Schizosaccharomyces pombe: one gene and its partners. Changing the gene in region 2 together with the main gene of any one other region gives a genetic interaction. Each region holds a gene or a part of one and is shown on either strand. Other genes may lie near its edges. The genes, in order: php3, mpc1, gcn20 and jmj2.

Evidence for each region.
Region 1: mutations in mpc1 (region 2) and php3 together harm fitness more than expected from each alone (negative genetic interaction), as found in Schizosaccharomyces pombe (one large-scale study listed by BioGRID).
Region 3: mutations in mpc1 (region 2) and gcn20 together harm fitness more than expected from each alone (negative genetic interaction), as found in Schizosaccharomyces pombe (one large-scale study listed by BioGRID).
Region 4: mutations in mpc1 (region 2) and jmj2 together harm fitness less than expected from each alone (positive genetic interaction), as found in Schizosaccharomyces pombe (one large-scale study listed by BioGRID).

What each region holds. Positions count from the first base shown.
Region 1 is NC_003424.3:2,141,876-2,149,062, reverse strand, and holds php3 (CCAAT-binding factor complex subunit Php3), read right to left. Parts: upstream 3,383-7,187; coding exon 3,284-3,382; intron 3,137-3,283; coding exon 3,076-3,136; intron 3,021-3,075; coding exon 2,893-3,020; intron 2,738-2,892; coding exon 2,675-2,737; downstream 1-2,674. Other genes in the region: alanine--tRNA (Ala) ligase Ala1, read right to left, coding at 1-1,861; SPOM_SPAC23C11.07 (uncharacterized protein), read right to left, coding at 3,837-4,169; SPOM_SPAC23C11.06C (hydrolase), read left to right, coding at 5,772-7,187. UniProt on the Schizosaccharomyces pombe protein: Belongs to a complex that binds to the sequence CCAAT located upstream of genes involved in mitochondrial electron transport.
Region 2 is NC_003421.2:198,563-206,235, reverse strand, and holds mpc1 (protein mpc1), read right to left. Parts: upstream 6,135-7,673; 5' UTR 6,107-6,134; coding exon 6,105-6,106; intron 6,065-6,104; coding exon 5,960-6,064; intron 5,872-5,959; coding exon 5,777-5,871; intron 5,594-5,776; coding exon 5,553-5,593; intron 5,487-5,552; coding exon 5,392-5,486; intron 5,337-5,391; coding exon 5,249-5,336; 3' UTR 4,611-5,248; downstream 1-4,610. Other genes in the region: plasma membrane glucose/fructose:proton symporter Ght6, read right to left, coding at 1-1,503; mug146 (protein mug46), read left to right, coding at 3,529-4,464; sec6 (exocyst complex subunit Exo3), read left to right, coding at 6,920-6,957, 7,013-7,040, 7,103-7,207, 7,266-7,331, 7,406-7,673. UniProt on the Schizosaccharomyces pombe protein: Mediates the uptake of pyruvate into mitochondria.
Region 3 is NC_003423.3:2,051,299-2,059,886, forward strand, and holds gcn20 (AAA family ATPase Gcn20), read right to left. Parts: upstream 5,145-8,588; 5' UTR 5,127-5,144; coding exon 2,916-5,126; 3' UTR 2,843-2,915; downstream 1-2,842. Other genes in the region: atp14 (F1-ATPase subunit H), read right to left, coding at 5,800-5,823, 5,870-6,060, 6,113-6,148, 6,197-6,242, 6,290-6,304; ort1 (carboxylic acid transporter), read right to left, coding at 6,965-7,858; rps902 (40S ribosomal protein uS4), read left to right, coding at 8,494-8,588.
Region 4 is NC_003424.3:1,803,036-1,811,621, forward strand, and holds jmj2 (histone demethylase Jmj2), read right to left. Parts: upstream 3,763-8,586; coding exon 1,615-3,762; 3' UTR 1,513-1,614; downstream 1-1,512. Other genes in the region: transcription factor TFIID complex subunit Taf11, read right to left, coding at 738-1,337; bouquet formation protein Bqt2, read right to left, coding at 4,235-4,367, 4,448-4,607, 4,683-4,746; SPOM_SPAC1002.07C (N-acetyltransferase Ats1), read right to left, coding at 5,207-5,341, 5,393-5,503, 5,595-5,625, 5,672-5,706, 5,765-5,883, 6,131-6,206; RNA polymerase-specificity factor Mtf1, read right to left, coding at 6,988-8,088.

The DNA of each region.
Region 1 (7,187 bases), on a different chromosome or scaffold from region 2:
CAAGGGTGTTACGAAGAGCAAGATTAAGAATATGAGTAACGGTATGATTGTTCATCAAATGCCAGCGACGAATTTCATCATATTCGCAAACAACCGAATCATTAACCGTGAGATTCCCATATTCTAGAAATCCAGTATGAAGTACATATCCAGCGTAGACTTGCACATTGGTGACTCTAAAGTCAGCAACACCATCTATAACAATGTGACCAGTATCATATTCTTGACCACCTTGCTCGGCATAAAAATTAGTTCGATCAAGCAACAACCCGAGCTGCTCACCAGAGTTGAACCCCTCAGTACTTTTTTGAAATCCGCCCTTGTGATATATGCCTTTTATAACTGACTTCAATGATACAGAGTTATGCTTAAAAACATCATCAGTCTCTGGGATATCATCCATTTTAGAAAGTGCACCGAGTGCATGAACATCCAGCACCAGAAGATCATCTCCTGAAGAACCACCTTTGGAAGCTTGCTTGCTGATTTCCTTAGATCGAGCTTGAGCAGCTTCAAAACCGGGTTCATCGATTTTGATACCTGCCTCCTCAGCCATTAAATGAGTTAAATCAACAGGAAACCCATAGGTTTCATAAAGCCTCCATACGTCATTACCTTGTAGTGTTTTTGAAGGAGTCTTTTTAGCGGCGGCAGCATATTGCTCAAACATCTTCTCACCACGATCCAAAGTTCTAGAGAAAGACTCTTCTTCCTCATCAAGTAGTTCCCGGACGTCGTCTACCTTTCTCTTAAGTTCAGGGAAGAAATCCCCCATTTGTTCAACTACAGTTAAAGAAAGTCTAGAAAAGAAATTTCCAATTGGCACGCCGAATTTTTTACGTACATAACGGGCACCACGGCGTAAAATACGACGCAAAACATAGCCTCGGCCTTCATTGTTCGGCACACCACCATCACTAATAGCAAAAGTTAGGGTACGAACATGATCGGCCACAACACGGTATGCAGTATCGATACCATCTACATCTTCATCACCCATTTTGCCGGTATAAGGTCGGGCATTGGTGAGCTCTTGAATTTTAGCAAAAATAGGTGAAAAGACATCAGTATCATAATTGGAGGTTTTATTTTGAATAACCGACACAAGACGTTCAAATCCCATACCAGTATCAACGTGGCGATTGGGAAGGGGACGAAGTGAACCATCCTTTTCACGGTTAAATTGGATGAAAACAATATTCCAAATTTCTAAAACATTCGGATCATCCATGTTGACAAGCTCTGGGACAGTCCGATTTCCAATTCTGTCATAATGGATTTCCGAACAAGGGCCACATGGACCTTGATCACCCATTTCCCAAAAGTTGTCTTTCAAACTTCCAGGAATCACGCGGGATTCATCGATACCAATGTCAAGCCATAGTTGACGAGCCTCCAAATCAGGCTCCAAACCAGATTCCTCATGGCCACCAAAGTATGTAACATACAACTGATCTTTCTTAAGACCGTAAACGTTGGTAAGTAGGTCCCAGGCCATTGCGATAGCTTCTTTTTTAAAGTAATCGCCGAAAGACCAATTACCCAACATTTCAAACATAGTATGATGATAGTTGTCTTTACCAACGTCCTCCAAATCATTGTGTTTTCCACCAGCACGAATGCATTTTTGAGAATCACAAGCGCGTTTTAATTTAGCGAAATCACTAGAAGGATCAACAGTTCCCAGGAAAATGGGTTTAAACTGGTTCATACCAGCGTTCGCAAAAAGTAAGGTAGGGTCATCGTAAGGAATTACAGAAGAGCTAGGAACAATAGTATGTCCGTGATCTTCAAAGTACTTCAAAAACGTACGCCTGATCTCATTGGCAGGCCAATTAACTACCTCTGATTCGGCGGTCATGAGGTCTCTGCGGTGTAGTGTAGGTAAAGGATAAGAAGGAGTGTGGGTTGAAATTTTTAAGCGCGCAAACAATGAAGACTTAGTATTGATAACGCTTTGATGTGTTAATCGAAACTTATTACGGCAATTTAAATTAGTTATTTTAGATAAACAGATGGGAAACGAGGCACGAATCCCTAACATACGAAGTTGGTGGAATCTATTAGAATCGGTGGACGGAAAATGACCCTGGTATTATATAGCCGTACGCTGAGAAGGTAATTTACATACTAGCTACAGCAGGATTAAACACTTTCCTGACAATAAGAAAATTTATTGATTGATACGTATATGACTACGGAAACATCGGCTAATCCTTCCATGAACCGAATGACTATATGTGTCTTATGCTGATTTCGGTGAAATAGACGAAATGAGTAAAAATAAAAATGAAATGCTATTTTTTTCAAAATAATATATAGGTTAACAGTAGCAGGATTAACAAAATGAAAAAGTAAGCAAAAGCGAATGAGGGATAATCACAATAATACACTTTAAGTAAACAGGCAATAGTAATTGCTAAATTTATACTGACGACATTAAGGAAGTTTTAAATATGAACAGGCCATTTTGGCAATATAGTGCTTATCTTTGAAACTTGGTTAAAGTAGAAATTAACATAGTTCGTAAATTAGCATCATTTGTAAGATAAACAGAGATAAAACAGGAGAGTACAAAAAGAGAGAGGAATAACAAATAAGGCGATCGACGATCGCTGCAAAAGTCAGGAAATATTTCAGGGAAAACCCCGCTAATGCAAAATATATAAGGAAATTACTGAGGCTCTTCGGACCGGCTTTGTTTAGTTTCTTTCATGCTAGCAGATCTTGCTTGTTGCTAGAGTAGATGTTAGAAAAGTGACTATGAGAATGAAATTTTGGTATGAGTGAATGAATTGTTGCGCCTTCATTGCTTGAGACAATTTAAATCTCTAAGCCAACAAGGAAGTAGAAGTACACGTATCACCATTCAAATAAAGAATTTTTCCTTACCTCTCTGTATTTGGTGAGAGAAATCTTTAAAACTTCGGCATAATTTTCGAACCCAAGGGTATTTAAAGCCAATAAAACATCTTCACCAGTAATTGTCTTTCTCTTTTCTTGAGTGCATTGTTCAGATGCTATTATATGGTCAGTAAATAACTATACATGAGGCTTTTGCTATTGATTCCATACCTTCACCAGTAACAAAGGAAATAAACTCACTAACGCAATCTTGGACGCAGTCTTTAGCTTCCTAAAAAGTCAGACATTAGCACTGCAACATGAAAATTACAAAACAAAAGAGAAGAACGCACTCACAGCGACCTACTCCGTCACTAGCAATCAATCAATCGAAGAGACTGACAATGCGATTTTTCTCAATTCAACAAATCATGCATACCTTGGAAATCTTGGCGTTTTCGGGAAGTGCCGATTTCATGATACGCGCGACATTTGCAATTGGTAGGAGATTGGTGTAATCCAACCCGTCTGCGCTCATGATAATTAAATGTATCTTTTACTTGTATAATTTAATTTTGGCGAGCAGAGAAACCTCAAATAACGAAAATAAGTACACAAACCCCGCTAAAATTGGTTTGACTACTAGCAAGCACGATCCTTGACAAAAATCGACAGCTGATAACCTATTCTCGAGCCTTTGTGGAGGGAACTAAAAAGAAATCCAATAATTCAGCAGGAGATGAAGATCCTAAAAGACGAACAAATCAAATAAAAAGAAATGACCTCCTTTTGAGCAATGAACGAGGGTAATGGCTTAACGTTAACTTTCTGCTTCTTCACAAAAGAAAGTAAACGTCTATCTACTTCCAATAGGGAAAGAAATCAGTAGTTGGTTATTGCGATAAAGAAACACTATGTTATTGCAAAAGAAACAGCAATTTGTTTCTACAGGTTGCAAGCAATTCGCAGACTGACTGTATCGGCCTATAATATTATTTAAATAGTGCAGTTGTAAAGTGGGAGATTAACAAGAGATACTGAATTCGAGTGGTACGATATATCGGTTTCCGACTGGGGCATCTAACTACTATTCCACCTACTCCAGCGGCGAGCAATACTGGATGGCTCTGAGCCTTCGACGGGGCTGCGCTATTTAGGTAAGTGGGGTGAAAGGCCGAAATGGGGGCCAAAAGACTTTCAAGTGGCGTATAAGGGAAACGAGCAAGACTTTTGGAAGCTTTAAGGTCCCAAGTGGGATGAAGGTGAAGGCGAGGCGTCTTCTCTTGAAGCCAAGGTTTCCCAGTAAAAAGAAAGTGGGATGCCATCTAATCCCTATGTCACTTTTACGCTGACAAAATAATCGTGATATACGTTAAACAAGAGGAAAGGAGAGACTAGCAAAAGAAGTGTTTTGTCATTCAAGCGACGATCCTTCATACAAAAAGCAAATAAATAAATCCTTTTATAAATATCATAAACATATCATTAGAAAACCAAGAAAAATAAATAATAATATGAATTAATTTAATTCAAAAAAAAAATATAAATATAAATATAAAAAAAGAGTAGAAGCGATTGTGGAAACTGACAGCGAAATAATTATGAGACATTTATTTTACAACTTACAGAGCAAATATTAAGTTCGTTTGAAATAGTTCACAATTGGTATTTACCGTTCACATCTGATAACTGAAGAGGAATTCAATGTTATTAAAATCGTGTTTGCGAAAAAGTTAATAAAAATAACCTAGCAAAGAAGATTCGTAGAAAAATGGAATAACAAGAAAGTAAATGTATCTTATGGCAAAACTGACAATCCAGTGTTTTTTTTTTCTACATTTCATTCATCTTCACTCTCCATTCGCACGCATACCTAAATATGTTCCCGTAGGGGAAAATTGCGTATACTGAATTGTTTTGTTCTACAACTCGCATCTACTCAACTATATTCCCTACTTGACTATACTTCTGCACTTCAAAAGTCATGTGTATCTATCCTAATCTTTATATTATACAGTGGAATGCACTATAAACCTAGTTGTATTTTTATTTCTCATTTCCTATACATCAATGATATATCAGATTAAAAGTTTGCTCCTCTTTCTATCCCATCTCACCCATCATCACTTGCAACATTGGCAAGGGTAATTGAAGGCGATGCGAGCTGTGTGTTGTCAAAAGAACGAATATGTTTTTTGCCTTTACCATCATTCCTACTCTTCCGTCCTCTCGACGTCACATAGAGTAATCGAGTGCATTACTAAAGGACACTTAACTAGTCTTATTTCCATACAACGCTGAGCCGCCCATTCATTACGTTTCCTCGACGCAGGCTAATTTACGTAGAACATAATGGCAGTTTATAATATATATGGCAAGTAGCCAGTGATGGTGAAGGGTCCGCAAAAGGATAGAACTTAACCAAGATTTCTTTACATAATAAATTCATTTGCCTACAATAGTTTGGTAGTCAAGCTATTGTTAAAAGAAAATTCAAAAGTATTGCAAAGACTTGTATTCATTGCAAATAATACTTTTTCAACAATTATCAAGTCAATTTCTATTTTTTTTTGTGGTAATTGTCTACTGCATAAACAGAAACATTTGATTTTTACCTAAAATTGTTTTATTGTCACATCTAGTTGTGACAAAATCGATTTCTCTGTTGTGATTATATATATTTTTGCTGGGATTTAAAAACAACAGTCCATCTTGTTTACGCCGTTACTCTAATTATAAATCCATATAGTTTTCGTTTCGTTTCGTTTCTTTATTCCCTTCTACTCAAATTCCCGTGATCCACTGTTTCTAGTGAAGAACGTTTCTTTTTCTTTTCTTTCCTTTCTATTTATCTTTAAAAAGAACCATCTTACTTCAGAACCATCCCCATTTGGTTACCGAGTAAAGAAAAATTAACGTAGAGAACCATGAATACTTCTCAAGACGTGAACGCAGAAGCTGCTAACGAAAGATCGGCTCTGCTGCCCAGGTTTCTGGGATCGCATAGAGGCAATGTTCCTGAAAACACTGATACGTATGCTTTGACACCTCTCTTTTATTGGATTCGTAGCACCTCGGTTGGATTACTGTTAATTACTATAATATGCCATCTATTTTTACTTCTTAATATTTTCATCTCCATCCCGATTATTAGCCATTTATCTCCGGGTTTTATGCCCGTTGGCTTCACCGCGCTAGCTGCCATTTTACTAGCCATGCAAATTATGTTTGTATACTCACCAAATGCGCCCGAAAGAGTTACACAACGAATCATTTGTTTCCTTTTAGCCATCGATGTTTTAGTCGTTTTTCTTAGCCCAATTCTTCGTCATAGAGAAGGATGGCGAAGCAACGCTTTCGTTCTTTGGGCTTTCTTAATGAGCCTATGGATTGTGATTACTGATCTTATGCTTTTCCGCCAATACAAGGAGGAACATCCGGACTACGATGCAATTGCACACCGTGGGTATTATTGGTCTTGGTCCCCATCAACGTGGCCTTGGAGACAAGTTGGCAGTCTTACTGCCTCTACGATATTATCCGTCATTTTGACCATCCTGACCATCCACACTCTCGTCACACTCATTATGCGTGCTTACGATGGAGCCCTTTCTGCTCCTGGTCAGTTGTATACCGTTACCGATAGTAAAGCAAGAGTCCATTTGGAATGCTTTGGAAGTTCTTCTTCCAACAACAAAACAACTGTTTTAGTAGAGGGTGGTGAGGTTTCAGTTCATCCTTTCAAAGAATGGCTCTTAAATCTTCAACATACCTCTCCTGATCTTTATGAGGAAAGTAAGGATTTCGAAGGTTATGAAAATGATGTTAAGCCTTACCTTTCACCTGATACACGTGTTTGTGTTTGGGATCGCCCAGGAATGGGATGGTCCGACAATATTGGTTCTCCATCCTCCGTTGGAATTGTCATGGATTTGCTAACGGAAGCACTTGCTCAAGCAGATGTCAGCGGTCCGTATGTGCTTGTCGCTCATGGAATCGGCGGTGTTTACTCCAATGTATTTGCCGCTCGCCATCTATCTGAGGTGAAAGGAATAGTGTTCGTTGATGCTGGGTCTGTTCAGACCTTGAAGGATTCCGGTCAGTTCCTATCCCGCTTTCTTCTTTTTGTTCGCGGTTGGCTTTCACCTTTGGGGATCAACCGTATTTTTGGTTCAATCTTTATGGGCAAAACTCGTCAAGACCGAGTGTACGGCATGTATTCATGGACCTCGGATCGTTGGGTTAAGAGTAAAATTGAAGAATCGCTTACCGGCCCTAGTTTCTCTAGATATGAGTTACAGTCGGCTCAATCTGTGTTACCCAAAGATCTTCCTGTTAGCGTT
Region 2 (7,673 bases):
AGAAGTAGGTCCACGCTCCTTTTCTGAGTCGCTTTGCTTAATATCTTCCCGATCACGCTGGTAAGCACCAGTGTTCCAGGGCTTAATATTCGACAAATAAAGTTGGTTAATCTCTTCCAAGGTAAGACCTTTGGTTTCCTTGGCGAATAGGAAAATAATAATAGCGGCACACAAGTTGCAAGCTGCAAACACATAACCATACTTGAAACCAATTGAGTTGCTAATAAAGGGAGTGAAGAAGGAAATCATAAAGTTCCAGAACCAGTTGCTAGCAGTAGCGACGGCAGCACACTTGGAACGATAACGAATGGGATACGATTCACCAACGATAACGTATGCGGCAGGAGCCCAAGTTTGAGCAAAACTGAAAATGAAAAGACATGAGAACACAATCATAACGGCACCAGCACGATGATTCGAAGTACCATTGGGGCGGGTAAGTGCACGATCACCTACAGAAGCATAAATAAAGAAACAAATAGATTGCCAAACACCACCAACGATGAGGGGACCACGACGACCAAAGTATTCAAGAACAAAGATAGCACCAAACGTACATCCAAAGTTGACAGCATCAAGAATCAAAGCTGCGAGGAAGGGGGAGTTCAAGCCAGTACCGCGGAATACCTGAGTACCATAGTAGAAGAAGTAATTGTTACCGGTCAATTGTTGGAATGCCATGACACCCATTCCCAAAAGTGTTCTGTAACGAATTTCGTTGCTAAAGATCTGAGGCCAGGAGCAAGGACCACCAGCCAATTCTGCCTCAACGTCAGCTTGAATGGCATTGTATTCTTTTTGCATGATGGGATGATCGGCTGGGAGGCCAGCATTACGAGTAAGAATTTTCATACATTCTTCATTTCTTCCTTTAACTGCAAGGTAACGTGGGGATTCAGGGAGGAAAAGCATTCCAAAGAACATGAGAATACCCCAAAGTAAGTTAATACCGATGGGAACACGCCATTGAGCTTCAGGATGAGTGGTGTATTTGTGAGTACCCATGTTGATACAGGCGGCAATAAAAATACCAAGAGTAATGAACAATTGATAAGTAGTTACAATGGCACCACGAATATGGGGGGGAGAAGATTCGGATTGGTAACCAGGAGCAATGACTGACAAAGCACCAATGCCAAGACCAGTCCAAATTTTAGCTACCATCATTTGAACCCAAGATGGAATTGTGGTGAGTTGAACGATAACACCGGTAATGTAAACCAATGTCCATCCCATGATACACTTACGTTTACCGAATCGATCTCCAAGAGGTGAAGAAAGTAAACATCCAACAGTAGTTCCAGTGTTAACCATACCAACCAAAAGACCTTGGCGAGCAGAAGAATACGAATACGTATCTGTGACAGGATCATACCTGTCTGCGTATCGAGATTGAAAGTCCCGCATATTAGTGATACCACCAATGGAACCCGTGTCAGCACCGAACATCCATCCGGCCATGGACACGAAGACCAACATGACAATGGTTAAGATTTTCGCCATTGTTCTTAATAAATGCTAGTTTTTTTAAAAAGAAAAAGTAATGACCAAATGAGAAAATTCTTTAGTCCTGATTAAGTAAAAGAAAAAAAAGAAAATTTCCGGGTTGCTTTTATAAATATATTAATCGCAACGATGTAGTAATATTAGAGAAAGAAGGAAAGAATAGAAGAGTAAGTATAGAGAATCCTTGGTATTTAATAATACAACGCTATATGTATATAAACCTTATAAGAATACAGAGAATAAGAATACCGAAGAGAAAGGACTTTTTTTCTTTAAGGAATGAAAGGATAGTCTTTATTTCCCAAGTTAAAAGAGTCTGTATAGAAAATCTCAAAAGATATAATATAGAGAAAGAAGAAAAGTACCGAGGTGAGGACCGCTTTTATAGGAAAAAAATTGGTTAATAAACAAACACCAAAGTCAACAAATTATGTAAACAAACAATAAGGATAATCGCTCAATGTTCCAAAAAATTCGACGATTAATCAAAAAGGGGGCTTGTCACTATCGGATGTTGGAGTAAAAAACAAACAAACAGTGTCAATAATGTGGAGAAAAATGGGATGTAAACAAACGAAAATAGTAATTCACTCTTTTAATAGAAAAAGAGAGAAAGTATTTTTGTTTTGAAGATTAAAAGGAAGAAAGGGAAAGAATTTAAAAGAGACAGTAATAGCGGAGTTGAAAATCGAGGAGGAAAGTATTTAATATCAAAAAATCACAAAAGACAAAAGTCAAGAGATATACAGCGGGACCAGCGAAATCAAAAAAATGTTCAAGGAGGATTTCCTATAAAAATGATAGAAAACAAAATAAGCGGAACGAAGGAATCGTATTTTAAATGATTATCAAACGGCTGCAATACTCAAATAGGGAGGGATAAAGGGTACTTCTCTTATTAGTATAAATCAATATGAGAAATATCCTTGTGGCTGTTACAAGTAAGCTTCAAATTATTAATGGAAGGAAGAGTGTTTGAATTTTACCCTTTATATACAAAATAAATGGCATCTTTTTTAAGCCTCCTAATCGTTTTCTGTTCAGATGTTGACTGTCATATTCTGTCATTACCAGACAACTAGCTAATTCATCAATTATAACCCCGCACTTAGTGCAAAAACGTTCAAGTTTAATATATCTCAAAACGTAGTTTAGCAAAAAATGATTGGTGGATTGACCTTATCGTTAAATCTCCTAAGAAAAAGCTTTAGACTATTGGCCCAAATTTGCAAATCAAAGTAGTTTATAATAAATGATTAAAAATTTGAGCCAATAAAATAATTCACCGCCTTACAGCCCCTTTTACCCCAGAATTACTGTTAAACGATATCAGGTAGCAAACTGAAGACAGAAGTTGTTAGCAAATAATGATTGTTTTAATATTAACTTTCTAGTGACCATTGAATTTTCATGCTATTATCGTGTGAATTGTTGGCAATTAAAGAGATGAGTTTGTAATTAATTAATGAAGAAAAAGAGATACATGAGAAACCTTTCCTTTGACTCAAAGTTCCATCCGTCATCGGACTGTCTCAAATGAACTAGCGAAAATGTCAGAAAGGTCATCTCATTCAGTCATCCTGTCTCAACCATGAATCAGCATGATTGGAGTTTTGTGTAATTTCATCACAATCCAAAGAGGCGTAAGTTCCGGGAAGTGGTTTAGAATTGCGCCCGAGACGAACGAATGACTACTAAGTGACTTTACAAATTGTTGAGTAAATATTAGATCGTAAGTTGAAATCTCAGTAGGTGGAGTTTACAGACGCTAAAATTACTGTTCTTCGCTTGATTGAAGAAAGAGGTCTATTTTAAGAGACTGAAGAGGCTTAAAGCATGACTATTATATGATTCTTTTGGTGATACAGTTCTATACATATCCTTGAGGTTTCTGCATTATTTTTTCATACACATAATCTAATAAAACAAAGTGGGAATATTTTTGTTAACTCTTTTTGCCAGCTTTTTGTCGGATCTACTTTTATTCATTATTTTTTTTCGGACTCAATAATTTTGCCCACTATGATCTGTAAAAACACTTTCGTTGATTATCCAACTACACAAGTGAGGAAGGAACGTGTACATACCTATCGCACCTTGACCTCCGCTACCCCTTCTTTGGAATTCTTCAGTAACGAAAACACTAACAGACTGAGTGAAGTTCAGTGCAAACTGACACATTTTTTAAGCTCTTCTGAAAATTCATCTAGCGTTCGAAACACCCGTACCCATAAATTCAAGCAGTTGCTCCATTATATTTTCTTTTCCAATAGATCTTCTTCAGTTCTAGGAAAGCAAAATGTACATAATTCCCAAACGCTGGGTTCTGTCTCGTTTTGTGAGAAACACGCTATTGACATTAACTACTCCGAAAATGTAAACAAGCAACTAAATTTCGAATCTCACCTTGATGACCAAACTTGCTCTAAGAGATTTTATTTTAATGAGCAAAGTGGAAGCGATCGCTATTCTTTAAAGTGCGATTCCGATACTGATTCTTCCACATATTTTGGAGATAGTGCTTCCGAGACATGCTCTTCAGCTTCAAATTCGTTATATAAGCAAACCGATTTAACTTCCTTGTGTATGTTTAATCAGAATAAAATTCAGACCGATTGGTCTTCTATAGATCCAATGGATAATGACAAAATTGTTTGTGCAGACTTTGAGAAAAATTTCAACATTTTAAAAGAGCTCTTAAACAACACAAAAGATAACGGCATTGATCAACAAATCGTGCATAAGGAGCACATCTCTCATCTTGAAAAAATTTGGAAAAATATCAATGAAGAATCATCAGAGGATCCTTCATTATTGTTGCTACGTTTGGAATTCTTGCTTACGGATTTACAAACAGCCATCCGTAAATACTCAGATACGGTGTCTACAAACTCTGTCAATGAAGCATTTTTTGATAAAATAAAAATAGAATTACAAGCATTTGGCGTTCTGGTGTAAAATATGTGAAAGCTATTCTGAACTTCCCGATCATGTTCACCTAACTTTAAAAATTTTGGTGATGAAATGCTTTGACCTTCAATTTTGTGATCACGTATTACCGTTGATCGTTTATATTTTGTTTAATTTTCTTTTTCACTAATGACCTCCCTAATTGTTAGTATTTTCGATTTCTTTTAAGCCTAACATCTAATATATCGGAATATTACACAAAATTAATTAAAAAAGTAATTGAAACTACTTTTCCTAGTAAAAGCTAGATTGTGTAACTGAACTTGCTCTTTTAAAAAGTGACTTTACCGTTATCAATATATTCAATAAATATTCAGTAACCGACAAATCAGAAAACTAGTACGCCATGGTGCTACCATATAATAGTGTTAATATTTTGTATTAAGAAGTACAGAATACTAGAAGCCACAATCATAAAAATATCGTTCCACGTGACAACTTTTGCCTGAAAACATATTGTTGATATTATCAAAACAATTTAGTTGTGCTTCCACAAAAAACAAGGATACGACGTCTCGGACCAGTAAAATAGAAAAAGACATTTTGTAAAAAGAAAAAAGAATGTACATTAACAAAATAATGACGGACTTCAAAATTTGCAAATCCTAAACTAAATAGGAAAAATGAATTTTTCCTATATTAGAGCAAGTAATAAACCGATAACACATATTTCTCAGGTTTGCTTATTTATACCCTTCCTTCGAATCAATTTTGTTAGAGCAAGTGACTTATCCGTTCACTCGTATTTTAAAGAATAAATACTTGACCCTTTTCACTTTTGACGAGTGCCACTTTCAGGATGTTTGGCTGCTTGCATGATGTTCTCGAAAACAGATTGTTTAGAAGCACCTTCTTTGCCACTAATTAAATAAGTCGTTAGTAAACAATAGAATAACAAAGTCTCAATACACATACTACCAAAAGTTGACGAAACGAATTCCTTGTGCCGTTTGAACAGTGGTATTAAAGGCATGGCATCCGAGTAATAAATAGTTACGTGGGCTTACCATCTAAACGCTAGTTAGTAAAAGTTCTATCAAATATTGGAGAAAGGAGTAAGATGATTCAAAACATACCCAGGCATAACGCATAAAGACGCTGGAATAGAGAATAAGTGCTAAGGAGATTAACAAAAAAGCAACTTTTAAACGATACAGAAAGTCATCTCGATAACTGCATTGACAACAGAGATAACCACGATCAGCGGAAAAAAGGAAACTAACTCCAATCTCTAAAAGAGCTTCCCCAAAACCGCATTGTCATGGCCAAGTTATTGATATGACTATTTTTTAACACATACCACCTGTCATGCGCCCAGAAATAAGCCTGGGATCCTTTTTCAAATCCAAAATAGCAGCAATAGGAATTCCAAAATTCGACAACGGACCCCAGAAGCTATCTTATTAGCAAAGAAATCTTTTAAACCATAAATAATATAAAAAAAACGAGAGATAGCAATCTTTAAACCTTTCCATCTACTTACTGAGTACTACATAAATATTTTCTGAAATCAGGGCTTTTCAACCAGGTAATAAACCTTCTTGTGACCGACTGAGCAGCCTTTTGGCTCAACTTTTCTGATGCATTCCTACAAAAAAATGTTAAAACTGTTTTTTTTAGTGACATACATTTTTAAAAAAATAATATAGGCTGTGGTTGGCTTGCCAAAGGCTTCAAATTACTAGCTTATTATCCTATTAGTGGAGCAGAAAAATCGGAGATTAGCTACAGTCTCTTAATGTTTATACCTCAATCAGTTGATGAATATTGGAAGATTATATAACAAATAATCTATTATATATATATTTTTTACTTTATCAGGAAAAAATCTCACTTTTTGAAGAAATCAGATACCGAAGCTTTACGTAATCCATTAATTCACATTATGAGCTTTATTAATTGGATGTTAAAAGAAAAGAAATTCCTGTTGATTTTTTGTCAATTAAGAAGTATACTGATTTCTGGGATTATAGGGAAGAAGGATGATTTCGAGACAAAGTATATATTATTACTTAAATGAGCCTCGTAGACGATTTGAACACTATAGGTAAATTCGAACAGGACCAATTATTTAAATTTTTGTAAAAAGGTATGCTAACTATTTTTGGATAACAAAAACAAAAAATTTGGCTAAATACTCATTTAAACCCTTGCTCAGATCTATACTATTCTATCAATCTATCATTTAAATATTATAAAAATAGAGCAATGCGAATATTTTCCTTACACCTTATTACGAGTGTGAATTTGATATTAAAATTTATGCTGTACAAACTTCTTAAATTAGTTAAGGAAGTTTGACGAGAGAATTATTTGTTTTACGGAAATGAATTGCAATGCTTTAAAGCTGCCTGCCTTTACAACCAGTCCGTAAATATATTAATCAATCTGTCAGTAAATAGAAACGTTTGTAAGCACTAGGTCTGCTTATAACTTTAAGAAAATGACCGCTGCCGCATCGGATGATGCTGTCTATAACAAGTAAGGATTATTTATCAAAATACCATTTATGAAACGATTACTCTAACTTTGTCAGGGTAGCGGATATTCTTAGACAATGTGAGGTAAGTGGTCCTTGTTAGGATGCTTGGAATTAAGATCGAAAGCTAACAATTGATGATTTTAGGATTTTCATCGATTATCTACTCATATTGAGCGATTTGAACGCGAGCAAGCGTCTCTTAATATGCATGTGAAAACGGAGCTCGAAAAGCACGTGGAAGCCGTTGAGGTTAGCACAAATATTAAATTAATGCGATAATTGTAATTGATCTAACTTACGTCTTTAGTTGGGGAAATTGGCACTGCATGATGCTCAAACGAAAAGAGTGAAGCTTCTTCAGGAATTGCATAACGTGAGTAAAGTCGAAGCTTAAGCTTTCTTGACATTTTCTAAAAGACTTTTTTACTAATGTTGATTTTTTTTTAGATGTTGACTTTATGTGAGAGTGCACGCGAGATGGTCGATGAATTTCCGTTAATCAGTCGCATGTCTCGGATATACAAAAATTGTTATGCAACAAAACAAATGATATCGCAGTTAAATAATTTAGTCAAGGAGACAGATGTAATAGAAGACATGTTGCGTGAAGATTTAGAACTTGACTCTGATATGCCAAATTTGTTACGCGCCCATTATAAACTTTCTAAGCTTCGAGAATTCCGTGAAGAAGCCCTATACCAGGCATCCCTTGAAG
Region 3 (8,588 bases), on a different chromosome or scaffold from region 2:
TCTTTTAACTTATACTCTTGTTTGGCAATGGGACTTTTATCAAGGAAACAATTTGGTATCATTGATCTTTTGCCTACAGACCAACTAGTTCATCAATTTCTTCTCAAGTTCTTTTGAAATTTCTTAAATTTTTTATTTCCTGATCCCAGAAAACTACATCTGCAAAATTAATGATTCATTTTACGCTTCCAATGCCATGCTTTCGTATATAAGTGATAGCAACAGAGACACTAAAGGGAAAGGATAGCTTTGTTGAATATGTGGATCTTACTGTACTTCATTTTATCTAATTTGAAAGATTTCTCATTGCTCTTTGCTTACAACTGCTCTTAATTGAGAATGTGCTGCATTGCAAATGCTGTTTTGAAGCAATTTAGGAAATTACAGAAAAAAGAAACTATAGTAGCGTTTACAATTTCGAAAACTATACTAATAATTTTAACTAATGAAGCTAGCTATATTCATTATGATAAGCAGGAACTAAGTATTTAAAAAAGTAAATAATGTTGTACAAAAACGAAATAAACCAACTAACGTTAAAGTACGAAATTAATTGACTCATCTATAACCGTTCTTTATTTTTTTTATTTTTTCAATGAATAAAGCTATTGGCATTGATTGCTAATCTGGTTTGATATATGATATACATATTTTTCTTTTTGAAGTATTGAACAATTCTTTTTACGCTTCTAGTAGATTAATTACCATTTACTCTTTTTTTAAAAAAAATAAATAAATAAATAAATAAATAAAATTTTGTATATTCAAGTGGTTTCTGCTCATTAGCCTAATTCGCAAATAACTCTAGTTTAACATAAAATTTAACTTGACGAAATGCGAAAAATGTCTTGTACGACAAAATTTCAAGAGTTAGGATTGAGAGAAGAATTAAAAAACAATAGAACAATAAAACTATTGCACGTAACCCCTAAAACTTGTTGAAATTGGCAATGTTGATTAAATACCTATATCTGAATTAATTTACGAGAGAAAAAAACCTAAACGAAAGATTAATAAAAGCGCATATTTAAGGAAAAATTTTTCTATGAATAATTTCTCTTTTCATCCATTAATCGCCTTCTTGACCCATTTCTTCTCTTGTATTTACATTTTCATCTTAAGTAACACGTCACCTACATCAAGCATCCAGGTAGTCATCGTGGCAAGCATGAATTTGCTCTTTCCCCATATTCGCTACTGAGGTGTGCAGCCCTTCCGCGGCGTCATTGGAACTTCCACTGGGCCGGAAAGGCAAGAAGGATAATTACGGTTTTTAACGTTGAATACGCAAATATTTATAACGAAACGGTGGTTGAGAACTCGTAAATTGAATGAAGAAAATTTGATAAAGGTCGATAAATTTATTTAGCGATAATTTAACGATTTTACCGAGTTAACAAATTAAAGATTTTAATTATTTTTTAATATATTTGTATAAGTGAACAAATAGGTTTGCTTCGCCGTCTTTTTCAACTTGTCGGAAACAAACAATTATCTGGAATTTTTTTTTACTCGCACTTAGATTCTCCGCGTTTTATACGCATATACTAACAAGGAAAGGAATTTAGCTAATCGATAGATTCTGGACCTTTCCTTCTTTGAAACACATTTTCCCCCGTTGAATTGGTTTTGTTTACATTCAAATAAGGTAAAAGCACTCTTCCAATTGAAGACTATAGAGCTCTAATTCGATCGTTTTCTTTGAAATTTTTAAAAATTACTATCATATGAGCGATGTATTCTTTAAAAGATTTGTGCATCCAAGTCGCGCAGAAGCATGTGCACGACATCGATGATATTGGCGATTGCCCATTCGAACTCGTAAAACCTATCCTGGAAAAAGCTAGACCAGAACATTTAATAGACTTGGAAGAAAAGTCGCCTCATTTGAAAGTTGACACTCAACCATTGTGGAAAGATCACGTTTTGCGTGATTTTGGATTAGAACTTCAAAAACGAACTATATTGAACAATATTGATGATTGGAGAGGGCTCTACGGAAAACTTAAGAAAAAAAGAAATGCTCATTATAACGTTGCTTCTGCTAAGCTTCGAAGTGCTTACACCAAGCTAGAGCAAAGTAAACAAAACAAGCGAATTGTTCCTTTAGAGCGTGAGCCTAGAGCTGCTCGGCCTCCTAAGCGTCCGCGTCCCATGAGTAATTATTGTCCAAAAAGTTCTCTAATGGCGAGAGCTAAAAGTGATTTTCTCAAAAAGGCTCTGCTACCCGTCATATTGTTTCAGCTACTTCATCCTCTCGGAGCTTTCCCCAATTGCATCCCCTTGGACGTTCTTCTTCTAACGCTACTAATACTTCTACAAAGCGTCCTTTAACCTCTAATACCTATCCGTCCATTCCTCTTCCTCCAAAGTCTTTCACCTCTCAGAATTTTAAATCGTTCAACGCCGTCAAAACTCAACCTTCATCTTCCTCCTCTCCATCAATCTCTCGCCCTACGTCTTTTCCCATGTCCTTTTTTCCAAATCCTTCGAGGTTTTCTAGTCAAGTTCCTAAACGAATTTAATGAGTTAACTTTTTCCTTTCTCTTTCTTTTTTTGTTTACTAGTCTGTATATTCTTTTTTTTTCTGCTATTGATTTCCTTGGTCCGCCTTATTTTCTCCTCTTCTCCCCTTCCTCCTCTTTACTTTTTAATTGATTGGGTTTGTTCTCTTTATTTTTTGGGTGTTGGTTGATGATTTGCATGCTTTCCAGGTTTCTTGTCCATTACCGTGTTATGACTTACTTAGCTATAATTAATTTACTGTTTTAATCTTATTTAACACTTCATGTCTTTTACTGTATAAAATGTAGTTAACTTCGTTTACATATTTTATCCAGATTCATAGATAAAAGAATTTGATTTTATTTATCCTCGCCAGCTATATTATTATTATTTAAGTCTATGCTATTCCATTAAGTTTTTATAGTCATGGTTGGCTGTTGAGATAGACAGAATTTCTTATATTGTGAAATTGTTCCATCAAACTTGGAGACGACATTATGGTCACACTGCCAAATACTGGTACATGTCTTGTCCAAGAAATCAACATCGTGAGAAACAAGAATCACACCACCTTGGAAGCGTTTAACAGCTCTTGTCAAGGCATCCATGGACTCCATATCCAGATGGTTGGTGGGTTCATCTAGAATAAGAATGTGAGGGTTTTGTAGACCTAGGCATGCGAACGCAACACGAGATTTCTGACCACCAGAAAGCGTGATCATTTTTTGCAATGCAAGAGGTCCACTAACACCAAAAGCGCCAAGATGACGACGGTATTCTTCTTCACCTTTGCCAGGAAATGTCTTAGCTAAAAAGCTTAAGGCATTCAAGTTTAAGTCCAAAGTATCGACATGATGTTGTGCAAAGTATGCAATACGAAGTCGGGGGTGCCGACTAACTATACCAGATGTTGGATGAAGTTGTTCGATAAGAAGCTTAAGCATTGTTGATTTACCAGCACCGTTGGGACCAACCACACCGATACGAGAATCCATTTGAACATCAATATCAACATGTTTGAGAATAGGGTGACCTGGAACATACTCAAAATTGACATCAGACATTTGTAAGATAGGAGGAGATATTTTTTCCACAGGTGGAAATTCAAACTCAACTTCTTCCTCAGTTTGAGGCTTTTCAAGGATCGGCAGTTTTTCCAACTTCTTAATACGACTTTGTGCTTCGGATGATTTGGCAGCATTATAACGAAATTTGTCAATGAATGATTGCAAATGTTTGCGGTATTCCATTTGCTTTTCATATTCACGAAGTTGATTTTTGCAACGTTCTTCACGAGTAGCATAGAATTGACTAAAATTACCCTTATAGTAATCCAAGCGCTCAGAGTGTTGATGAATAATATCAGTAGCAACTTCATTCAAGAAAGAACGATCGTGTGAAACGACTAAAACGATATTTTTATAAGTTTGTAAATATTCAGATAAGAAAGCAATTGAGGGAACGTCAAGCATGTTCGAAGGTTCATCCAAAAGTAGTAAATCTGGTTGACAAAACAGAGCACGTGCCAATGACAAACGCATACGCCAACCACCTGAAAAAGTCTTGGTAGCATGGCTTTGCATTTCTTGAGTAAATCCAAGACCAGCTAAAATAGTAGCAGCGCGTGATTCTGCTCTATCAGAGTCCATCTCGGAAAGCTTATTTTGAATATCTAACAACCGTAAATCAAGTTCGTCTCGTTCACGCTCAAGGCGACGGGAAATAGCTTGATCAGCAGTTTGGTCTTTACTAAGTTCTTCCAATTCTTTTTCAATCGTTGATAGACGATTAGTTATCTTTTCCTGGTCCTGAATCAAATACTTGCGCCAAACATCGGCATCCAAAACTGACTGTAGGGCAGGTGTATCATCACCTGTCATTTCTTGCTCAACATGAAGAATGGTAATATGGGTAGGAATCGCAATTTCACGGCGAGAAAGAGCACGTAGAAGAGTAGATTTACCGATACCGTTGCGACCAGTTAAACCGTATCGTCTACCCTGTGCAAGTGTCAACGAAGCACCAGTCAATATACGATGACCAGCAAAAGCAAGATCAATTCCATCAATTTTAATATCTTTCGATTTTCCTTGGTTACTTCCGGATAAATCTAGAGGATTTACAGCCATGTAAAACTCTTCATAAGACTTTTGTTCGGGTTGAACCAACTTTGAAGATTCGTATTCTGCTTTGATAGTACGTTTCTCCCATTTGGCACGAATCTTCCGTTCAGCCTTCTCTAATTTTCTTCTATCTACCCTAGATTCAACCTTACGGCCCTTTACAGCATCTAATTCCATCTTTTCGCCAACCAAACCCATAGTTGACGAAATTTCGGATTGGGAATCCATTCGAATAGTCTCCTTCAAACGAACAAGTCCATTCGTTTGTAATGTATCTAGATGTTCCTCTCTTTCTTTAAATTGTTTCTCTAGTTCGTTTTGTATGAGCTGTACCGCTTCCTCACGAGCGCCAGCATCTAGCAATAAATTACGAATGAGAGAGATCGTATGGTCTGAAGCCTCATCTACATCTTTAATAGCATCATTAGCATATCCAGTGCAGTAGCTGAGGACATGAGGGTCTACTTCAGAGCAATTATTCTGAATGACTTGCTCCATGTTGGATGTGAGGTGGATAGTACTAAGCAAGTTATACTACTGCTATATATGAAGCCTCAATCGGCAAAACGATGAGACTAGGCATGAAAATATACTAAATACCTTATAATAGTGAATTATATATTTTTTTAAGAAAAAAAATTACAATTCCAAGAAAACTACTGTGAACTTTACTGATATTTTTAATGACCCACAGTAGACATCAAATTTTATCAAGCTAATCCTTATTGTTGAATAAAAGCAATTGTATTGAGTTGATATAAATTGAAAAAAAAAATCCAAATGTGAACTCAATAGAAATACTTTGCAAAGAGAAAAACATCTCAACTCAATGAAAGTGGTTTTCTATCAATCAAGGCAACAACTGTTTCGTGCCGTAATCGAAGAGACGACTAAGCATTGAATTCAGCTATGTTCAAAGACATTTAGAAAGCAGAAAAAGGATACGTTAACCTAGAATATAAATCATAGTGAGACGGGAGTTATAGAGATACATCCACGTTCGTGGTCAATCAAAAGAAGGATCAGACAAAGGCATGAAATAGATATAAAATCAAATCTCAACGACGTAGATGAAAATGTAAATTCATAATCGGAAAATAAAAGGCAAAATTTAATCAAAGTTAATTACCAAACATCTTCCAATTGAGCATAGGAAAAGCAGTGAATAAATTTAATGTTCTTTTTCATTCTCATACTGAAGGAAAAGTTAGCTGATGCAATGTAAAGGAAGAGATACATACTGATTCAAGAAAGTCAAATTTGTTGCTTTCTCCAGCAGCCTTAGTGGGAATGGTTTCTCCCTCATACTTGTAAGAGTTTAAAGCAGAAGTAAAGTCAACATCGTATTTTGGAGCAGTAGGAGCGCTAGGCATGGACCATTCCTTTACTTCAGCTGCCGTTTCGGAAGGGACAGCTTTAGGCTTATATGATTCTAAGACACGACGTGTAAGAAATTGGTAAATTAAGAGAATATAATAACATACTTAAAGAAGAAATATATAAACCCTGTACTACATCGACTAAATTGCCATTAGTAATCTCATCAAAATCAAAATGTCATTTCATACCGTAAAGACGAGGGGAGGTGGTCGAATAACTACGACTTAGTGATTTCTATATATTAGCTCCTAAATTCTTAAAAAAAGCAATGTATAACGTACCAAAATTCGAGACATTGTTCTTCCTTCACAATATATGTGGATGGTAGTGGTAACTCACTTAGGTAGCATGTATTGAGTAAGAAAGCCAGCATTGTCCGAAAGTACATTAAACATACTAAATCTAATAGCTAAAGTTTTAAATGCCCAAATAAACAATCGCTGAAATAGAAGGACTATTAGTCTCAAAAATTTCATCCAATTTACACCTCTACCAAAAATCTACAAAACAAAATTCAACTATACAAGAAAAAAAAGCGTAGGTACATACAGATATTGAAAGAGTTGGATTAACCAAAACAGGACGTAAAAAGCAAAACAAAACAAAAAAAAACAGGGAAAAGAGGAAAAGAAAATATACTTTCAGATTGAAACGGTTAACTCGTGAAATGTATAACAAGTTCAGTGGAATTACTGTCAAACTAACAGCAGCACATGATATGAAAAGTGATGAGAGGGGAGTTTTTGAAGGTAAAAATGCTTTTAATAAAAAATAAATAGCATCAAAAAAATTGTAAAAGTATTCCATGGGACTTTAAATATATACGACAAAACCAGTTCTAAAATGTGATTAAACTTCAACCGCAAGTCGAATGCAAGTTAAAATATGTATAGAAATGCATTCCGACGGGTTATCGACTCAATGGACAACAAAGACTTCGTAAAACTAGAATAAAACTATTTGCTTAATACTTTAGTTTCCCGAAATAATTCAAAAAGCGTAAAATTGCAAGAATTTATAAGAGCGCTTCGCATCAATGAAATACCTATACCTCGATATATAGTAAACGATAACCAAGGAATGGAAGACAAAGGGGTTTTAATTGATAAGAGTGTATTTCTTTGTACAATGGATTTGGCTGTATCCACCGGGAATACCAAAATCCAAGACAAAGCGCCGCAAAAAGCACCAGAGAAGGCATAAGCAAAATGCGGCTTCACATCATTCGCTATCAGATTTTTCTTAAAGGTTTCGTATATTGTAAAATAACAAGCCGATCCTAGAGCGTCTCTGGTTAGATGATAACGATACCCATTCCATAATGCAGTAAATCCATACCTCCGAACAATGTCAGAAGCGCTCTGGAAAGATGACAAGGGAGGTCTGACACTTAGCTTGGAATTTGTCTCTTGCCGACGGCCCATATTTGTTTTGCGAAGAAGCATGTCAATTTGTGAATATAACTTTGAATACTCGAATGGACAAGCAAAAAGTGATATAAAAGTACCAGTCCCAAGCCCGGAAATGAAATACCGAAGTGTAGGATCCACATGAGCAAATGTAAGTTTTAAGGAATCATACACCGTAAATGATACTGACCTCGATAGAGTGGCTGATATCAATGGTAGAGTAAGACCACGATACAAACCTTTTAATCCCTCGTTTTTAACAGCGTTTTGGAAACAAGAGCGAATGGTTGGGAAATTGTAAGTTTGCTGTCGAACTTTAATCGAGTCAAGAGGATACCCAATAACATTGCTAATGGCAGAAGAAACCAGAGCAGCGGAAAAGGTAGATGCGGGAGAGCCCGAGTGTGCTTTATGGGGCTGGTTATGAACTGGTAAACCCATTTTTTGATCAATCCTTCAGAAATAAAATAGAGAGAAATGAGAGAAGAAAATAAAGATCAATATTCTAGCAAAAATAGATTTTTCGACTTATCTAAACAAATGAAGTAATCGAAATCCTCTTTCTTTATGTAAGTACGTATATGTACGTCTAAATTGTATGTATAGTCTAAAGTATTCAGAAGTTCACCACCCATGTAAGATGAACTACTAAAAAAAAACTTGTTTTTTATATTTTGAAACTCGAAAAAAAGTAAAATCGTCAATAATTATGATCAATTTCAGAGAAAAACCAAAAAAGAGACAGTAACAGCACAACACTCACAGGATTGTGCAATTAATATCTTCAAATAGAGTTTAATACGCACTCACAAGATACAGTGTATCCCTTACATATGTGATCTTCTATTTTAGAAAAAATAAACAACACCTTCTATTTACAAATCTAACTTCTGCTTTTCCTTCACAAGGATATAAGCTAGAGGGTTAGTAGGAATAGTGTGTAGTAAGGATATCGGTACGGGATGGTGATGGGACAAAACCCTAACCTAATACTACAGTATCTCAAAAAGCCGTCACTGTTGTGCCTTCTTGAAAATACATAGCAAAGGTAGGTTGCGCAAAGCACCAAACAAACAATGCCTTCTGCTCCTCGTAAGCAATCCAAGACTTACAAGGTTCCTCGTCGTCCCTTCGAGTCGGCCCGTCTAGATGCCGAGCTCAAGCTTGCTGG
Region 4 (8,586 bases), on a different chromosome or scaffold from region 2:
TTACAATTCGCATCTACTCCAGATAGACTGTTGTTGAGCAAGTCCAATGTATGACAACTTTTACCAGGCTATTCCCATACCAAGTAACATTGCTACTTAAAATAAGAGGTATGGTTAAAGAAAAAAAAAGGACTCATTAGAGACTACTTTATTGTATAGGAGTATAATGAAAAATATAAAACTGAATATCGTGAAGGATGGTTCAAACATTGCTGAGAATTACATCGCTATCGAGGTATAAACAAGCACAATTGTCAATAAAACAGCTTGAAAGATAAATATAAATGAGAAAGAAAGTATTTCAAACACGAAAAAATATAACGTTCATACCATTATTATTATTTTGCTGTACTTTCAGCAGTAGATTTTATTACGAAATATGCTTGGACAACAGCAATTAACATATTACTAATTACAAAGAGCAACAGCAAATGGCCTTTAGAAACATTCAATAAAGAAAGATCCATTAAATTTATATTAACATTCTGTAATTTTATCAACTATATTGTTCATTAACATACAGTTGTGACATATCACTAGCAATTGTTTGGCAGTTGTAGCTGGACAAAATAAAAATAATGTACAAATGATAGGGGTAATTTGTCTTCATTTTAATGTATGAAAAATGTAAATCCCTAACCCATGCTTTTAAAGAATAAGGCATATCATGAAAAAATTAGAAGGGAAGAAAAACCGGTGATAGATACACTAAGAGCCTAGGTATGTGTTTTCTAAATTCACCGAAACAAATGACTAACATGACGGCTCTGTGGATAAAGCCTCCGATTTTGACGTGATAATCTATACGCCTCTCGTAAATGATCAGGACTCAGTGGACCAGTATCCCCCCATTGATCTTGAATCTTTCGAGCTAATTCAACGATTTCTCCAACAAACACCTTTGAAAATCCTGAGATCACAATAGCAACATTGGGGGTTACACTTTGGTTTAAAATTTGGTTAGCCAATTTTTTAACATTGGTTTTATTTAAGTTAGCACGACGAAACACTTCGTATCTTTGCATTTGCTCTTCATCAAAACTCTCTAGAAGATATTTTGTGCGCAATTTTTCATTAGCTTCGTCGTCCGTTTCACCAGGTTTTCCAGCAACTTTTGAAATAGCAGCTGTACCAAAGTCATCCCTATCGTCTTCTTCCAGATCATTTTCTTCTTGCCGATTCCAATTCTCTTTTTCTTTTGATGAGGGAGCAGGCTCAGCAGCAGGCGATGCCGTATTTGCCTTTGCATGAGCTCCTGCTGTAGGAGAATTAGATTGATCGTAGCTCATCGATCGCTGAAATCGAGGTACTGAACTCGCAGAACCAGTTCGTTTCATATTTATCCCTTCTATCTTCAAAAAACTGAAGAGCTCTAAATGTTTAAAAATTGGGTTTGATTTTGTTATGCAAAGTGAGAATGTACAAGAAGTAAATTTCACAGGTTGGAAACTGCTTCATACATAAGCAAGTACACTACGCTTCCTTAAACGTACAATACTATGATTATAGTCAAATTGTTTACATTACATGAATCCAACGATGTTTGTAAATGACCTTGAAAATATAGGTTTATAAATTGCAAAATAATTGTTTTAGAAAAGAATAAATGTAACTTTAATAACTTAGCAACTTCTGTAACTCATTATCGTCGACTTTTAGGCGTAAGGTCTTATTGCTTAAATCGCACTTGCAAAGATATTCGATGTGTAATGGACATACAGTAATCGACTTGCAAGAACAAGCAACTTGAGAGAAGTATGAAAATGCTTTGCAATGCTGGCATTGCCAATTTTCGGCATCCTCCATTAATTCACGATAAAGTATTTCCTTTAAATCATAGCGTCCTCGTATCATGATACGTATACCTAATTCACGTTTGACAGCCTCATGCACCCAAGGCCTTAGCTCAGACACACTTATCTCTGACGCCGGATTTGTCGCTAAATTGTAAACCAACATATCATGTGAAAGTACAGGAGGTTTAAGAAGTGACTGATATTTCAAAACGCCATTCAAAGAGAATCCGTTTAGTAACCAATCTTTGGGAGCAAAATTCACTGCCTCATTAATGTTAAACCCATGATTAATTCCTGCGTGAAAGCTTTTTGGAAAGGTAATCACGAATTCATTAGGCCCCTGGTCGATGAAATAAACATCGACACCTCTTTTTTGTAGCTCATCAGGGTTGATCATTGTAGCTAATTGGTAAAGCAGATCTTTTTGTTTTTTTACCAAATCAGGAGCAATATCAAGAGCGGCGCGTTCAAACCTCTCGGCTTGATCACCTGGAATTCCATACCATAATTTTGTGTCTCCATAATGTTGATAATTTACGGAATAAGTATAGTTATCCTCGACATGCCAACAAAAAGTTGAAAAACACATTCCAACGTACAGCCACGGACAGGTTATACCTGAAACAGGATTATCTATATAGCTTAATAGAGAACCATTTGTGGATGCTATAACATTTAAATTCCATGTGTCCTTAGAGTAAGGATTCACTGGATTTTTGGCTAAACTAGGGAAGGCGCTGCCCTGATCAAGGGTTGATAAATCTGCACCGTATTCCACTTCAAGGCTTGTATTATTGTCTTTTACGAGTTTCCAATACTCTTTTTCAACAATATCCTCAGTTATCTCCGAGTCTTTAAATTTAGAAAAATAATTTTTCTTAAAATTGTCACAGTATTTTTCAAAGTTCGATAAAGTATAATAATTCCCTGTTTCAAACCCAAACTCATATGGATTAATTATACATTTAGTACAATACGCTTCTTTACACGTATCTTCGACTTCACAATTGACAGGTTTGTGACAATTGTCACATAAGTGGTTGTTATTCGTTGACAGAGAGCTCAATCGTCGCTTTTTATTATGTGAGTGATTATCATTTGATCCAAAATTATCGGCTGGCATATATTGTTGTTTAATCTGCTCATTTCTCTTGGATTCTTGGTTTTGAAGAATTCCTACGGACTCATTAGTTTCGGGGTTAAATTGTTTAGATGTCTTCTGATCTTTAATACTAATATTAGAATGTTCGTCTTTTGTAAAAAATTTAGGGAAGAGATCAGTTTCAAAGCATTGATCCTCAGAGGTCTGATATTTTCTGACGAAATCCTCAAATGGAAAAATATACCTTAAATACAAGTCACTTGCTTCCTTTAATGATGCATTAGTAAAAGGAATTGAAAGTTCTCGTAAAATCCTTTTCCATACATGAACTTTTAATTCCTTCTCACTTAGAGATGCATGAGAATCAATACAACGCATTAAGCTGTATAAGTCGATAGACGTATTGGAAATAAAAAATGATTCCGGGAGCTCCATGCCCAGATTGCAAAAAAAACGGTAAACGCGTTCATCGTAAGAGACTATTTCACGAAATCGAAGATCCATCATATGCAAATCCTGCCGCCGAGTACGGAAGGAAAACTTGTTCATGTCAAGTTGCATCGGTGGATTCCAACCAGCAGGAGGAACGATTTTTATGATACCATATTTTTCACCGATTGGAGCTATCTTATTAATATAACCGATAGAGTCCTGAAATTCCTCTTTATCAGGATAAAAAACGGGAGCAACTGGAAGTCCATGAATGGATTTGGAACGCTGTTTTCTTTGTCCGGTATTTTTTGACATAGAGGATAAGTTATTTCCCCGCGTATTCATCCCATGAGGTGCAGGTTTTAGTTTATCTGTAGCATGAGTGTATTGTACAAAAGATGGGGAAGTTTGATGAAAAGTAGACTTGCTCATGTTTCCTATGCAAATAAGTAGATAAATTAGTCCGAATGGTGAGCGATTCCAGAAAAAAAAAGTTATTATAAAAAGAATTAAAAAATAGAGAATAAAAAAGAAACGAAACGTAAATGAGAAATAATAAATGGAAACAACAGTTTTTAAACTCGGACTTAGATGAAGTAAGTTTTTTATGTTTATGCAATGTATACTTGTTCAATTGTCCATTGAAAAGACGTAAGTGTCTTTATGGGATATAAATAAAGAAATTAGGTAAAATTCGAAAATAATCTTAGGCTAATAGCATAAATAGGCATTAAATTAATATTCGTAACGTATGGTTAAGTGAAGGTTGTGACAACTTCAGTTGACGATTTTGAGAGCTAAAGGAACGATCATTAAATTATAAAGGATAGAAAAAGGAAAGGTATTTTTCACAATTAGCATAGAATTTACAATCGGAACAACGCCATATCAGCACCAAAGCATTTCAAGGTAATTCACCGTTTAGAAAAGAAAGCGTGGATGGCAGAGGCTGTAGATACACTGAACGTATTCTGTGATCAACATATAAAGGTTCCATCACGTTCAAATGAATGACAGGTTCAGAAACGTAACTTTTGCTAATAATGGTGGTTAGTACTTGCCTTGGTAAATGATAAGATAAACTATCAATGCAATATTTAGTAAATTTAATAAATACCTTCTGGAAACAGCTACTTGCTCCGCAATCCACCAAGGAGAACGACATTGAACTGATTTGTAATTTGGCAAGCGGACGTGCTTTCTTAGATGCATTGAAAATGCATAATCAAAATTTTCATAACCTTCTGCTAAAAATTTCGCTTCTCCGTTGTGTAATTCTATCTTTAGTAAGAACAACTGAACCATAAATCATTCGACAACAAACAAGTGCACATCAAACCTTTAAAACTTACGCCATAAAGCAATTAATGCAGAAGGTACGGTTTCATCAAAAAAGGCGCACTTTCCTTGAAACATTGACAGGCAAACTGTTGTAGGTAGTTGGTTTGTTTACAATTGCGCGCGACGCGTTTCGAAAAAGAAACACAATAAAAGATATTCAAGAATACTAACCAATACTTTCTTTCTATTTTTTAATACACAATAAGAAGCCGATTTGATGAATTGAAAGGAAAACGATCAAATTAGTTTTATAGGAATTAACATTAGAACAATATACCAGTTCTAATAATTTACTTTGCAAAAAAAAGGATTCTTTATTTTTTAATTTTAAAAAATGTAAGATGTAAATTGATATCGTATTTTTTGGTAAACGGGAAATAACCTAAAGACATTGAAATGACCGCTTTAAAACGAAACTACAAGATCCAGGATCTTTCAATCATAAAAAATTAATTTTCCTCTTTCCAGTTCAAGGTTTCAAAGGTATAACATATCATGCTTCAATTTTTTAGAGCGTTAAGTATTGGGTATGAGTTTAAAAGTTGCCGGGAAGTTTATCAGCAAGAGCCTTTAGGTTCTCGCCGGTGACTCTCATCATACTCCATCCTCCAACTTTTTGTGCTCCAGCCTTTTCATAGACTTCAATGGCTCTCTGGTTCCAATCAAGGACCTAGGGTATTAGTCAAGGTATAAAAAAAGAAATGGGTTATAAACAACTTACAACCCAGTCAAGACGTCTGCCACCAATTCTAAGTGATTCTCGTGCTAAATAAGACAGTAAGTAGCTTCCATATCCTTTTCCACGGAATTGGGGTCGAACATATAAGTCCTCCTAAGAAATTGAATGGTTAAAATCTTGCTATGAAATCAAAAGTTAATCCTTCAATAAAAAGGTTATGAAGGACAATATGATAAGAACATACTAAATAAATCCCCACTCTGCTAGTCCACGTGCTATTCAACGTCAGCTCATATATTTCAAAACGGAACTTTTCACTACCTAAAATTTAGGAAATATATAGCCATTCCTGCGGGCTGATGGCAATTATAGATTAGTAAAAAAGATCAAGCAAGTTTACTTTTTTTTACGAACCTGATCATTTTCTTCGATGAATACTCCATATGCCACAGGAGTAACCTCGTCAATAAATCCAAATGCAACTTCTAAATTCGGAATTGTCGCTTCCACTTGATCTTCACATTTTTCAAATTCTTCATAAACAAAATGTTAAAACCGGTTTTTAAATAGTAACACAAACTGATCTGATAGCATGCGGACAGAAGTAGAGATCGACCCTGCTGACGAAAACCATATATTCTCAAATCCATATAAAAAGCTTAAGAGTAATCTCCAATTCAATAAGAGAATCAGACCCTGTGAGTCTGGGATACTGGCAAAAGCTCTAGCCTTTTAATAGAATCTACACGACTTCGTCCTCTTGGTCATAACGGCGCTTACCTGCCAATTCTTTAATAAACTGATAAACGGTCGGAAGATCTTCTTTAATGACAGAGCGAATGCGAACTGAACCCATGTTTTGAATTAATTGGTTTACTTGGTGTGCAGTGCTAACAGTAAATAATATGCGTGGCCTAATGGTAGTTTATTGTCTAGCGCACTTTAAACTGATGAGATCTCATCATATTATTTTTGGAATGCCAAATACGGGTAGAAACTAATCTAGTATGTTCCATTTACCTTTTTATGTTTGGGAATGAATAATCCGCTTTTCTACTGAACGATTATTAAATACTACCTTGAAAGCTAAAGCAACTCATAATAATGAAACATTAATTCAGTAAACAATTTAATAAACAGCATGGTATAATAAAGAATATTATAATAGTTTTTCGAAGTTATGGTATTTGTATTAATTAACATCTAAAAAAGTTGAAAGATGTAAACTTCCATTTAAAATAGCTCAGTTAAATCCATATTGCATTTATGCACTTTCCAAAAAAAAAATGATACCTGAGACTATGAGAGACATAAAAGAACGTAAAACAAGCCTGAACGGAAGCTATCCACTTAAATTGAATAAATTAGTAATAGATTAAGCAAGCATAAGTTATTTTAAATATGGTGATTAGAATGAACGCGTGTCTCAACGCAAACAAATCCTTTAATGATGTAGCGAATATGGCACAGGCAAATAAATGAAATACAGTGGCCTCAGAACGCAATGAGTAGAACATGAAGTGGAGAAATGATAAAAAAGAGAGTGGTTTTAAAAAACCAAAATTACTGGATGCAAAGAAATGCGTGTATGAACAAAAACAATCAATACGTTTGTTTCCCCCAATTTTCTGTAAATTTTATGAATCTTCAATTATTGTACCCAAATGTAAATGATGTTTGAAAGGATATTTTTGTATAATTTTTGAAATGGTAAGAAAGTCGGCTGCACTCAATAGTCCAACGGGCATATCGATGTTAATCCCACATTGGGTGAAGGAGGGTAATAGAGTTTCCGCACCTGGGCCTAAATAATAAATGGATTTTGAAAGTGATGTTGCTTTACATGTCAACAGTATCCTAACAATGCTTTCAAACACTGGAATAGACAATTGTTTATCTTGTGGTTTGGAGCACATTTCAACCAAAGTAAGGTCCTCTTTATGCGGTTCACTAGTAATTGGCGTGGGTGAAACTAATAAAGGATTTGGAGAAATTTGATAATTCTCCTTGGCCTCTTTACTATACCCCATACATAATTTTTGCAATGTTGACTCGGAGGCAGCTAATACACGAGAGTCTGTAAAGGCCTCTCGGAAAACTGATGTCTTGGATCTTTTTGAAAATCCCCTACTTCCAAGAAGAGTAACAGTAGGAGAACAGGGCAACCATAGCAATACACGAACTCTTCCAAAAATGCCAAGCCAATCCCTTGCCGAGAGAAAGTCTAAAATTTGAGAAACAAATAATAACCCGGCATAACCATGAGGAAGATGAGCAAAAAATAAAAGTTCGCGATGTGGTGATAACTTCTGCTCCTCTTCTGTTTGAATACGAGGATCCAAAACCTTCGAAACGTACACATCTTCGTAAGTTTGCCAATAATAACCATCTTGATGCACCCACTTAATCCTTCCATCAGAAAGCGTACACAATTTTTGTAAAGGTTTGGAAAAAACTTCCCGTGATTCTAGCACAACGTGACTTTTAGGTTGGAAGTAATTGAACAGCGAAGTGGTAGTCACTCCCGGTCCCGGTGCCATTTCTAAAATAGTCATTTTCTCCGAGTTGTATTCCTTAAGCAGATTGCTTTTCACAAGCGCTTCATCCATCAAATTCTGATTCACAAGATACGATGACTTATACGAAGAACGACCGTTTAGGTTTAATATCTTAACAAACCCCGTGGATCTTGGTCCTCCAAATGCAGCTGCGTCATATAAAATTTTAGGAAGCTTCATATTGATTATTTTAGCAATTGATTACTTTCTGCATAATTCGTATAAACAGTCCAAGATTGGTCAAATGACCTGTGATATATTCAATAACGAAAAATTGAAGACATTAATTTTTTTTCTAATTTTAAAAAAAGATGTCACCTTTACGCTTGCTTTCTTTTTCTGTTCATTTAAATGTGGTTAAACAACACATTCATATGCGCATTGTTCAGTCTAAAACATCACCATGTGCAAGTTTATTTAATGCTCGGCTTTAGTTAATTCATTCATAAACATTAACGAAGCCCATCAATTTTACGCAATACGAATTATGTATCCTGGTCAAATACGGTATTTCCAAGTAAACAAAACTATAGAAGTTATAGAAACTTTGAATAAACGTGTAATGTTGAATTAACTGGAAAAGAACGATGTTTTTCAAGTAAGGAAAACTGTTAACTACTCAACGCAAAGTAGAATAATACAATTTTTTACTTTTTGAACCAGTCATGCGAGCTGTCT